Linked DNA regions of Notamacropus eugenii. Each later gene encodes a partner of the first gene's protein in a complex. Links are inferred from orthologs where the notes say so. Each region holds a gene or a part of one and is shown in the gene's direction. Other genes may lie near its edges.

Evidence for each region. Proteins that work in one complex are often made in the same cells at the same time.
Region 2: the proteins of UBE2O (region 1) and NAP1L1 are in contact, whole or in part, in a cryo-EM structure (PDB 7UN6), measured with the Homo sapiens proteins. The link is inferred for Notamacropus eugenii from reciprocal best matches to the Homo sapiens genes UBE2O and NAP1L1. Residues at the interface, in NP_071349.3 of Homo sapiens: Ser225, Asn226, Val282, Lys283, Pro284, Val285, Lys289, Ser290, Lys291, Phe292, Arg293; in NP_001317160.1 of Homo sapiens: Arg333, Arg337, Thr343, Gly344, Glu345, Ala346, Ile347, Asp349.

Annotation. Positions count from the first base shown.
Region 1 is NC_092873.1:342,947,324-342,950,923, reverse strand, and holds the start of UBE2O ((E3-independent) E2 ubiquitin-conjugating enzyme), read left to right. Parts: upstream 1-708; 5' UTR 709-729; coding exon 730-1,065; intron 1,066-3,600. UniProt on the Homo sapiens protein: E2/E3 hybrid ubiquitin-protein ligase that displays both E2 and E3 ligase activities and mediates monoubiquitination of target proteins. Negatively regulates TRAF6-mediated NF-kappa-B activation independently of its E2 activity.
Region 2 is NC_092874.1:255,298,183-255,302,002, reverse strand, and holds the start of NAP1L1 (nucleosome assembly protein 1-like 1), read left to right. Parts: upstream 1-1,419; 5' UTR 1,420-1,553; intron 1,554-2,116; coding exon of another isoform or gene 2,117-2,772; intron 2,773-2,906; exon of another isoform or gene 2,907-3,018; intron 3,019-3,820. Other genes in the region: uncharacterized protein, read right to left, coding at 2,117-2,772. UniProt on the Homo sapiens protein: Histone chaperone that plays a role in the nuclear import of H2A-H2B and nucleosome assembly.

The DNA of each region.
Region 1 (3,600 bases):
ACATACACACATACATACACACACATATATACACACATACACACATATATACACACACATACATATACACACATACACACATACATACACACACATATATACCTCCTCATTTGAACCTCACAACAAGCCCCGCCAGGTAAGCGCTGGGACAGTCACTCCCATGTTACACATGAGCAGGCTGAGGCCGAGGCGGTTACCCGACCTGTCCCAGGCCCACCCAGGCGGGCAGCACCTGAGGCCGGCTCCGTACTGGGACCTTCCCGACTCCCACCAGCACACCAGTAAGACCGCGGGCATTCCCAGAGCGCACAAAGGTTCGCCAAGCGCCTCGCCCACGTAAACTGCGCTCTCGGGAACACCTGCTCTCCTTCCGGACCTCACCTTTGCCCCACCCCTTCTTCTATCCGGCCCCCAAGTCCATTTCTTCCTTTCCCGAGTCTGAGCCCCGCCTCTTCCCTCGTGGATTCTTTCCCTTCTTCCGCGTCCATCCTCTCGGCTACCCCTAGCGAGAGCCGGCCTCGGCTCCTAGCAACCGCATCCTCCGTTCCCTGACAACGGCGGGCGGCGCGTCTTACGTCATCACGCCTCAGCCCCGCCCCGTAGCCTTACTCCCGCCCTCTAGCTCCGCCCCCTCCCCCGCGGTACTCCCCCCCCTGCTCCGCACCCCCTCCCCCCCAGTTTCCCTTAGTCCGGGCTGCCTGCGCCGCCTGAGACTCTTGCTGAGCAGTCATGGCGGATCCCGCAGCCCCCGCGCCCGTCGCTCCGGCCCCGGCGGGTGGGCCGCCGGTGTGCGGCCCCGGGCCGGTGGCCGCCGGCTCGCAGCGCCTTCTCTTCTCTCACGACCTGGTGTCGGGCCGTTACCGCGGCTCGGTGCGCTTCGGGCTGGTGCGCCTCATCCACGGCGAGGACTCGGACTCGGAGGGCGAGGAGGGCCGCGGCAGCTCCGGGGGCTCCGAGTCCGGCGGCCCGGGCAACGAGGAGAGCCGCGCCAGCCCCCTGCGCCGCGGCTACGTGCGCGTCCAGTGGTACCCGGAGGGCGTCAAGCAGCACGTGAAGGAGACCAAGGTGAGTGAGGGCCCCCAGCGGGCGGCGGGGGGAGAGGGCGGGAGGACGGAGGTAGCGGGGAGCCGGGGCCCCGGGGCCCGCGTGGTGGCCGAGCCTGCGAGGGAGCCCGGGGGCGGAGGCGGGAAGGGGGCCCCAGGGTGGGGACCGGCCGGGGCAGGTGCACTGGGCCCCGCGGCTCGACCCGGTGCTAAGTCATTGCAGCAGGGCTGAGGGCGAGCCCCGGGTGCGGAGCGCGGGGCAGGGCCCTCGGACTCCCGGACTCTCTGGGAGGTGGTTCTCCGGGCCTCCTCGCGCCTGCTCGGGCCCAGGGACTGAGGCGCCCGTCGGCACTTTGCAAGCTAGGGGCGGGGGTGGAGGGAGACATGGAGCCTGTTCCCGGAGTGCTGAACGCCGACCCCCCGGGGAGCGACACGGGCTGCATTGTGCGCGGCCCAGAAGCCATCCAGAAAGGAGAGGCCCTGCCTTGTCAGTGTAGGCGTCAGGGAGGCTTGGCTGGGAAGTTCCGTGGGGAAAATACGTATATTATATGTGAAATATGTGTGTATTTTTCTTTATTGCGAAGGAATTTGCTTTGCTCTTATTTTATCCCGAGTACCTTTACATAGTTGCTAATGGGGAACTTTGTGAAGGCAAGTCAGATGCTTTGCAGTCCTGAGTAATGGTATGTGTAGTACAGTATTCATGATAACCAAGGCTTGGGGGAGAAACGTTGAGAGCCGAAGAGGGGGTGGTGGTGCTCTTTATAGGAACTGAGGGAATGATGACATTTCAGCATTTGGAAGTGCCTTTGAAAAGGCTGAAATGGGAGCTATCTAGGGGGGAAAAGTTGCTTGTGCATGTTCAGATAGGCGGTGAAAATAAGTGATTACTCAAAAAAGTCAATCTTAAGCATATTTGGACTTCTTGGAAAAAACGCTTTAGGAACCAACCTACTGACTGCTGCAAATCCACTAATTTGGAGTGGGACTTAAAGGGATTTTCTTGCTCCCAGGTTGTAACGGAACATCACTCTTCCATATGGCTGTCTGCATTGGAGCTGGGGGAAATGGATTGATAAATGCTTTGGAAACAAAGGGTTTGGCAGCCTGTAAACTAGGACCAAACATATTTTGTTAGTTTGTGGCTGTTTCCCAAAACGTGGATTGATATCGGTGACACACAAGCACACCCTTGTTTACCGTCTGTGTCCTCTACCCTTCCCTGCCTCTTTCCCTCCCCCCACACCCCCACGATTTTCTTTGCTTGGATAAGGCCTGAAATGTTTCAGCCATCTGGGTCATTGCTATTGGAAGATCTGGTTTTTAGGGAGTGGGCACATGAGAAGTTAGTCCTTTGCTAGATTGGATGCCTCACATGGGGAGACAAAGGAGACTGAGAAATGGAACGTCTTGGCTCATTATGAAGGGGGGGTCTTTGGATGAAGATGTCACTCAGGGAGAGAGGCCCCATCACAGGAAGAGACTGTAATCCATTTTCTAGTGGCAGAAGTGATTGCAGATTCCAGCTGGGTCTTCTACATAAATGCTCACATACACATTTAACCTCTCTCTATTCCCCACCACCCCCAAATGAAACTTGAGTAGTAGCAGTTTCATTCTTAAAATTCATTTGATAATTTGGTTGGAAAATGCTGCTTTTTGCAGTAGGATGTTATGTTAATAAGCACTCATCGTTATTATTTATGTCCTCAGGAAGTGGATGTTTATTGTTCATTGCATATGTCTCAAGTGCGTGGGGATTCTGGTGCCTTTTTATGGGCTTTTGAAAAATGTATTTTTTTCCCCTACCTTCCCTTTTTGTATGTTATAACTTAAATTTTGACTCCTTGCAGCTAGGCTTCTTAATCTTGAGACAATAGAGGAGCTAGTTCCTGATTTCCAGGCTCAAACTCTCTCCTTGGCCTTTTCAGTTCCTGGCTATTGCCATGTTTAAAAGTTGTTTCTGTCTTGGCTTCAGGAGTTACCTTTGTTTACAATTTTGGTTTTATCTGCCTTTTCTGTTTCCCTCCACTCCAGTCCAGTGACTTATACTTTGAATTATCTACTAGTTTTGAAGTCATCATAAAAAAATTACCATATGGTTCCTGCATGGACAAATTCTGAATATAATTCTGAATTAGTTAAAATGTGGTTAGGCTAACTGATTAACCGTGTTAAAACAGCGCTTTTTTAATTTGCTATCATATTCTCGTTTTTGTGTTCCTATCCTTCCAATCAAGGCATATCAAAAGAATGCTTAGAATGTTGTGAATTGTAGCATGATGGACTCATGGAAATAGTTTTGATGAATTTTAGATTTTTGAACATGACAAACAGGGGGCCCATTAAAGATTAATTTTTATATTTAATCAACTTTAACTTATTAAAAATAAATATATCCAAACAGCAACTAAAAATTCTTTGTTACTTGTGCCTGGCATATATTACATACTGAATAAATATTTGTATTTCTGTCTATTCTGATCTTCATGATTGTACCAAATATGTTTTATGCAGATATAAGTAGTATATATGCAATATTTCAAGTAATGTGTTT
Region 2 (3,820 bases), on another chromosome or scaffold:
TTATATTAGGGGTTCTCAAACTTTTTGGTCTCAGAACCCCTTTATACTACACTTAAAAACTACTAAGGAGCCCCAAAAGAGCTTTTATTGATGCAGGTTATACCTATTAATTTCTTTTTTTAAACACAAGAGAAAATATTCTGCTTCATTATGCTTTCCAATTCCATAGTCCTTTCTCTGGATATGGATGGCATTTTGCCTCAAGAGTCCTTTGGGAATGTTTTAAGTCCTTGCATTGCTATGAAGGGCTAAGTCTATCAGACAAATTCCTTACACACTGGGGTTGTTACTGTGTACAATGTATATCTCTTAATTTCTGCTGGGTTAGAAATTAAAATGTTTTAATATTATATGAAAAGTTTTGCCCTCATGGACCCCCTGAAAGGAATCCCAATCCACACTTTTGACAACTAACTGCTGGTTTACATTATTTAGAGATTTAAGATTCACTAAGCACCTTCCTCACAACCCATTGAGGTTTTATGTACAAGGGAGGAAAGGGAGGCTCAGACTGGTGAAATGATCAGAGCTATAACTAGGGCAGGGCAATCGGACCTTTGCTTCAGGGCAATGACATTTAGAAGGTGCTGATTACACTGCAGTCTGCCACCAGCACAGAAAAAACTGAGGTTGACACTTTGTTAGCTAGAACAATTAGTTAAAACACAAACTATCAGATGGTCTGCTTTTCCTAGAGGTGCACACTACAGGATCTGTGGTTCTCTACTTCCCCTTCTTTCTCCAGAAGTAGCCTCAAGGAGCCTGGAATTTCTGCACTTCTCCTTGCTCCGCTGAATTTTTTTTTAAATTGATTTGATGACATCAGTAGGTGTAAAGACTGCTCTGAAAGTGACTAGCTGGTACCAGCGTCAGATTACGAAATCTGGGCTATATTCATTCACTTCATTATGTGAAAACACATAATAAAGGATGCCAATATACCATTAAAACAGCACTAGAAGGGTGGATTGTCTTCACCGTGTACTCAATACCCTATTGACTCCTAATAAAGTAGAATTACTGACACGGCTAATTTTAGCCTTTCAAGAATGCTTTAAAAATAAGCCAGGTTAGGGAGAGTGATAGAGGAAGGAATGAAGGAGGATGGTTAAGGATGACCGAAAGCTTCCAACCTGCGGAATAAAGGGGGAAAAATAGAAAAGCCTGGGGGGGAGGGTATCTGCCCAGCAGCGGGGGGGGGGGGAATCTGCCCAGCAGGAGGGCAGTATCTGCCCAGCAGGGGGGGGGGGGGCAGTTCACTTTAGTGAGAACGGCAGGGCTGGAGGGCTGCATCAGTGAAGACCGTGGAGGTGATTTGCTACATTGGCTGATTAGGGTAGATGACTCCCCTCAGTCCGAGTTTAATGACAGCACCAAGTTCGCCGTGGGGGAGGGGAGGCAGGGGCATTCCGGGAGTTATAAATGAGTCAGTCCAGCGCCACAGGCCGGACTGGTCTGAGCGAGTGCCCCTGCCGGGTGCCAGGCTGCCCCGGGACGCCAAGCTCTCGTGCGACGGCTCCGGGAAGGTGGGCACGCGAGCTCCGGGGGGCCAGGTAGGGCGCTTCTTTCTGCCTCCTCCCACCCCCCGTTACTTCCCCCCTTTTCTCTCGGTCTTCTTCCCACGCTAGGCACCGAGGGAGCGCTTATGCATAATCAATATTAATGGATGGATCGCATCCTCGGGAAGCCCGGAGAGTGTAGACAGCCGCGAGAGAAGGGGAAGAGTCTGCATCCCCTAGAAGGGAAGGGACGAGGCGTCACGCCCGGGCAAATGCCCCCGGGGGGGGCGGGGGGGGGAGGCAGGAATGGAAGACGCGTCGGACCACGCAGGGGCAGGGCAAGGCCGGAACGAGGCTAGGGGCGGGAGAGCCCGAGCCCGGGGTTCTTTCCCGCGTTCTGGCGAGCACGCGCACGCGCGCCGAAGACGTCGGGGGCGTTTGACCCTCCCCACCCCGAGAGCCACGAGGGTTTGTGGAAGTCGGCAAGGGGAGGGGGGGGAGAGCCCGCACGCGTGCCGGAAGCTGGCCCCGTTGCTAGGCGCCCGGCTCCAGGCCCGCCCCCTCCGCGTTCCCCGGGTGACCGCCGAAGGGGAGGGGGAGGGGTGACGGGCACTTACGTGCTGACGCTGATTGTATATGAGCGCGAGCGGCGGGCTCTCGGGTCTTTTTAGCGCCATCTGCTCGGGGCGCCGCCTCCTTCTCCTCCTCCTCCGCCTCCTTCGTCTCCTCCCGCCGCCGCCGCCCTGAGTCACAGCCTGCGCAGCTCCGGCCGCCTGGTTCCTGCAGCAGCCGCGGGTAACGGGAGCGGGCCGGGAGAGGAGGGAGCGCGCGGGGCTTCCAACGGCCGGCCGGCCCGAGGCGGGAGGGGCGTGGGGGATCCGGCGGGGCTTGCCCGCCCTGCCGGGGCCTGGTCTGCGCGCGAACGTGGGAGCGTCCGGGGCCTGGGTCTCGGCCGAGGCCGACCCCCAGCTTGAGGACCGCGGCCCGGGGCGGCGGCGAGGAACGTGAGCAGTGTGGGCCGCAGCCCCTGGAGAGGACCCCGGGCTGGGAGGGAGGGCCGGCGGGGAGCGGGGCGCCGCGCGTGGCTGCGGGTGGGGGCGAAGCCGAACACTTCTGGCGCCCACCACCCCCGCGGGAGAGCACGGCCGGGGGGGCGCTGCACCCTGCCGGCTCCGGGGGGCGGCGGCCAAGTTAGGGCCGGGGGCGAGGCGACGTTTGTCCGCCGCCCGCAACACGTGGTGGCCGCTGCATGGCCGCCGTCCGCCCCGGCCCCCTGCTGATCATCCCCCGGCATGGCCTTCCTCCTCCCATCCCCCTTCCCCTTTTTGATCATCCCGCCCCCCTTCCGATCATCCCCCACCTTTCCCTCCTGACTCCCTCTACCCCTCCCTTTACTTTCTCGTCAAGCAACCCTGAGCTAGTTGAAATCTTTGCCAAGAAAAAAACAGTAAACCTCCTTTTGGACCCTGAAATGTCTCCTCCTTGGGCCTTCTGATTAAACACCGGCTGACCCTCAGTGGTAGGTCCTAGGGAGGGTCTGAAATGATTTGCAAAAACTAGTAACAAATTTGGGGGGTTTGTCTGTCTCCTGTCCCAAGTCAAGGAATGTCCGGGGGAAGGGAATCCGTGGCCACTGGATAGAGGGCTGGACCTGTGTGATCCTGGCCCGGAGGTTTATAACTAATTCATCTCTCTGTCAAGTTGCAGAGAAGGTGCTTGCCTGGGAGTCTGTTACCAAGGTCAGCACCTGCCTGGGTCCCTCTGTGACTTGGGGGCTTGCATAGCCACTATGTCTCAGAGAAAGGACCTAGATCTTCTGGCTTTCCCAAGGCTGCTTCTCATTAATTAAAGAGCACTTTTTGCCTTTCCCGTTTAGGAACTGATTACCCAGACTGATGAAATAAAGTTAAAATTCTTATTCCTTTTCAGATTGTTTGTATCCATGTTGTGGCTAATTTCTCAATATGTTTAATTAGAATGACCAGTTCCCTTTGGGGAGGGCAGGGCAGGGTGAAACTTGACGTGTGATTTTTATTTTTTATTTATTTAGTATAGGGAGCTTCCTTTACTTTCTCTACCAATGTAGATCTATACCTTCTCAATAACTTAAAAGTCATAGAAGAGTTGTCTTGGGGCACTAAAAGGTTAAGTGGTTTATTTTGGCTTAGAAGTTGAACCTAGGTTTTTCCTGGCTCCTCTGCCAGCTCTGCTAGGCCACATTCACTTGATATCCCTGAAAAATTGGTTAGGGAATGCCAGCGCAGACTTTTTTTAACCTGGTCTTTGATAGGACTGATCTTAATACAAAAGAATACATTGCA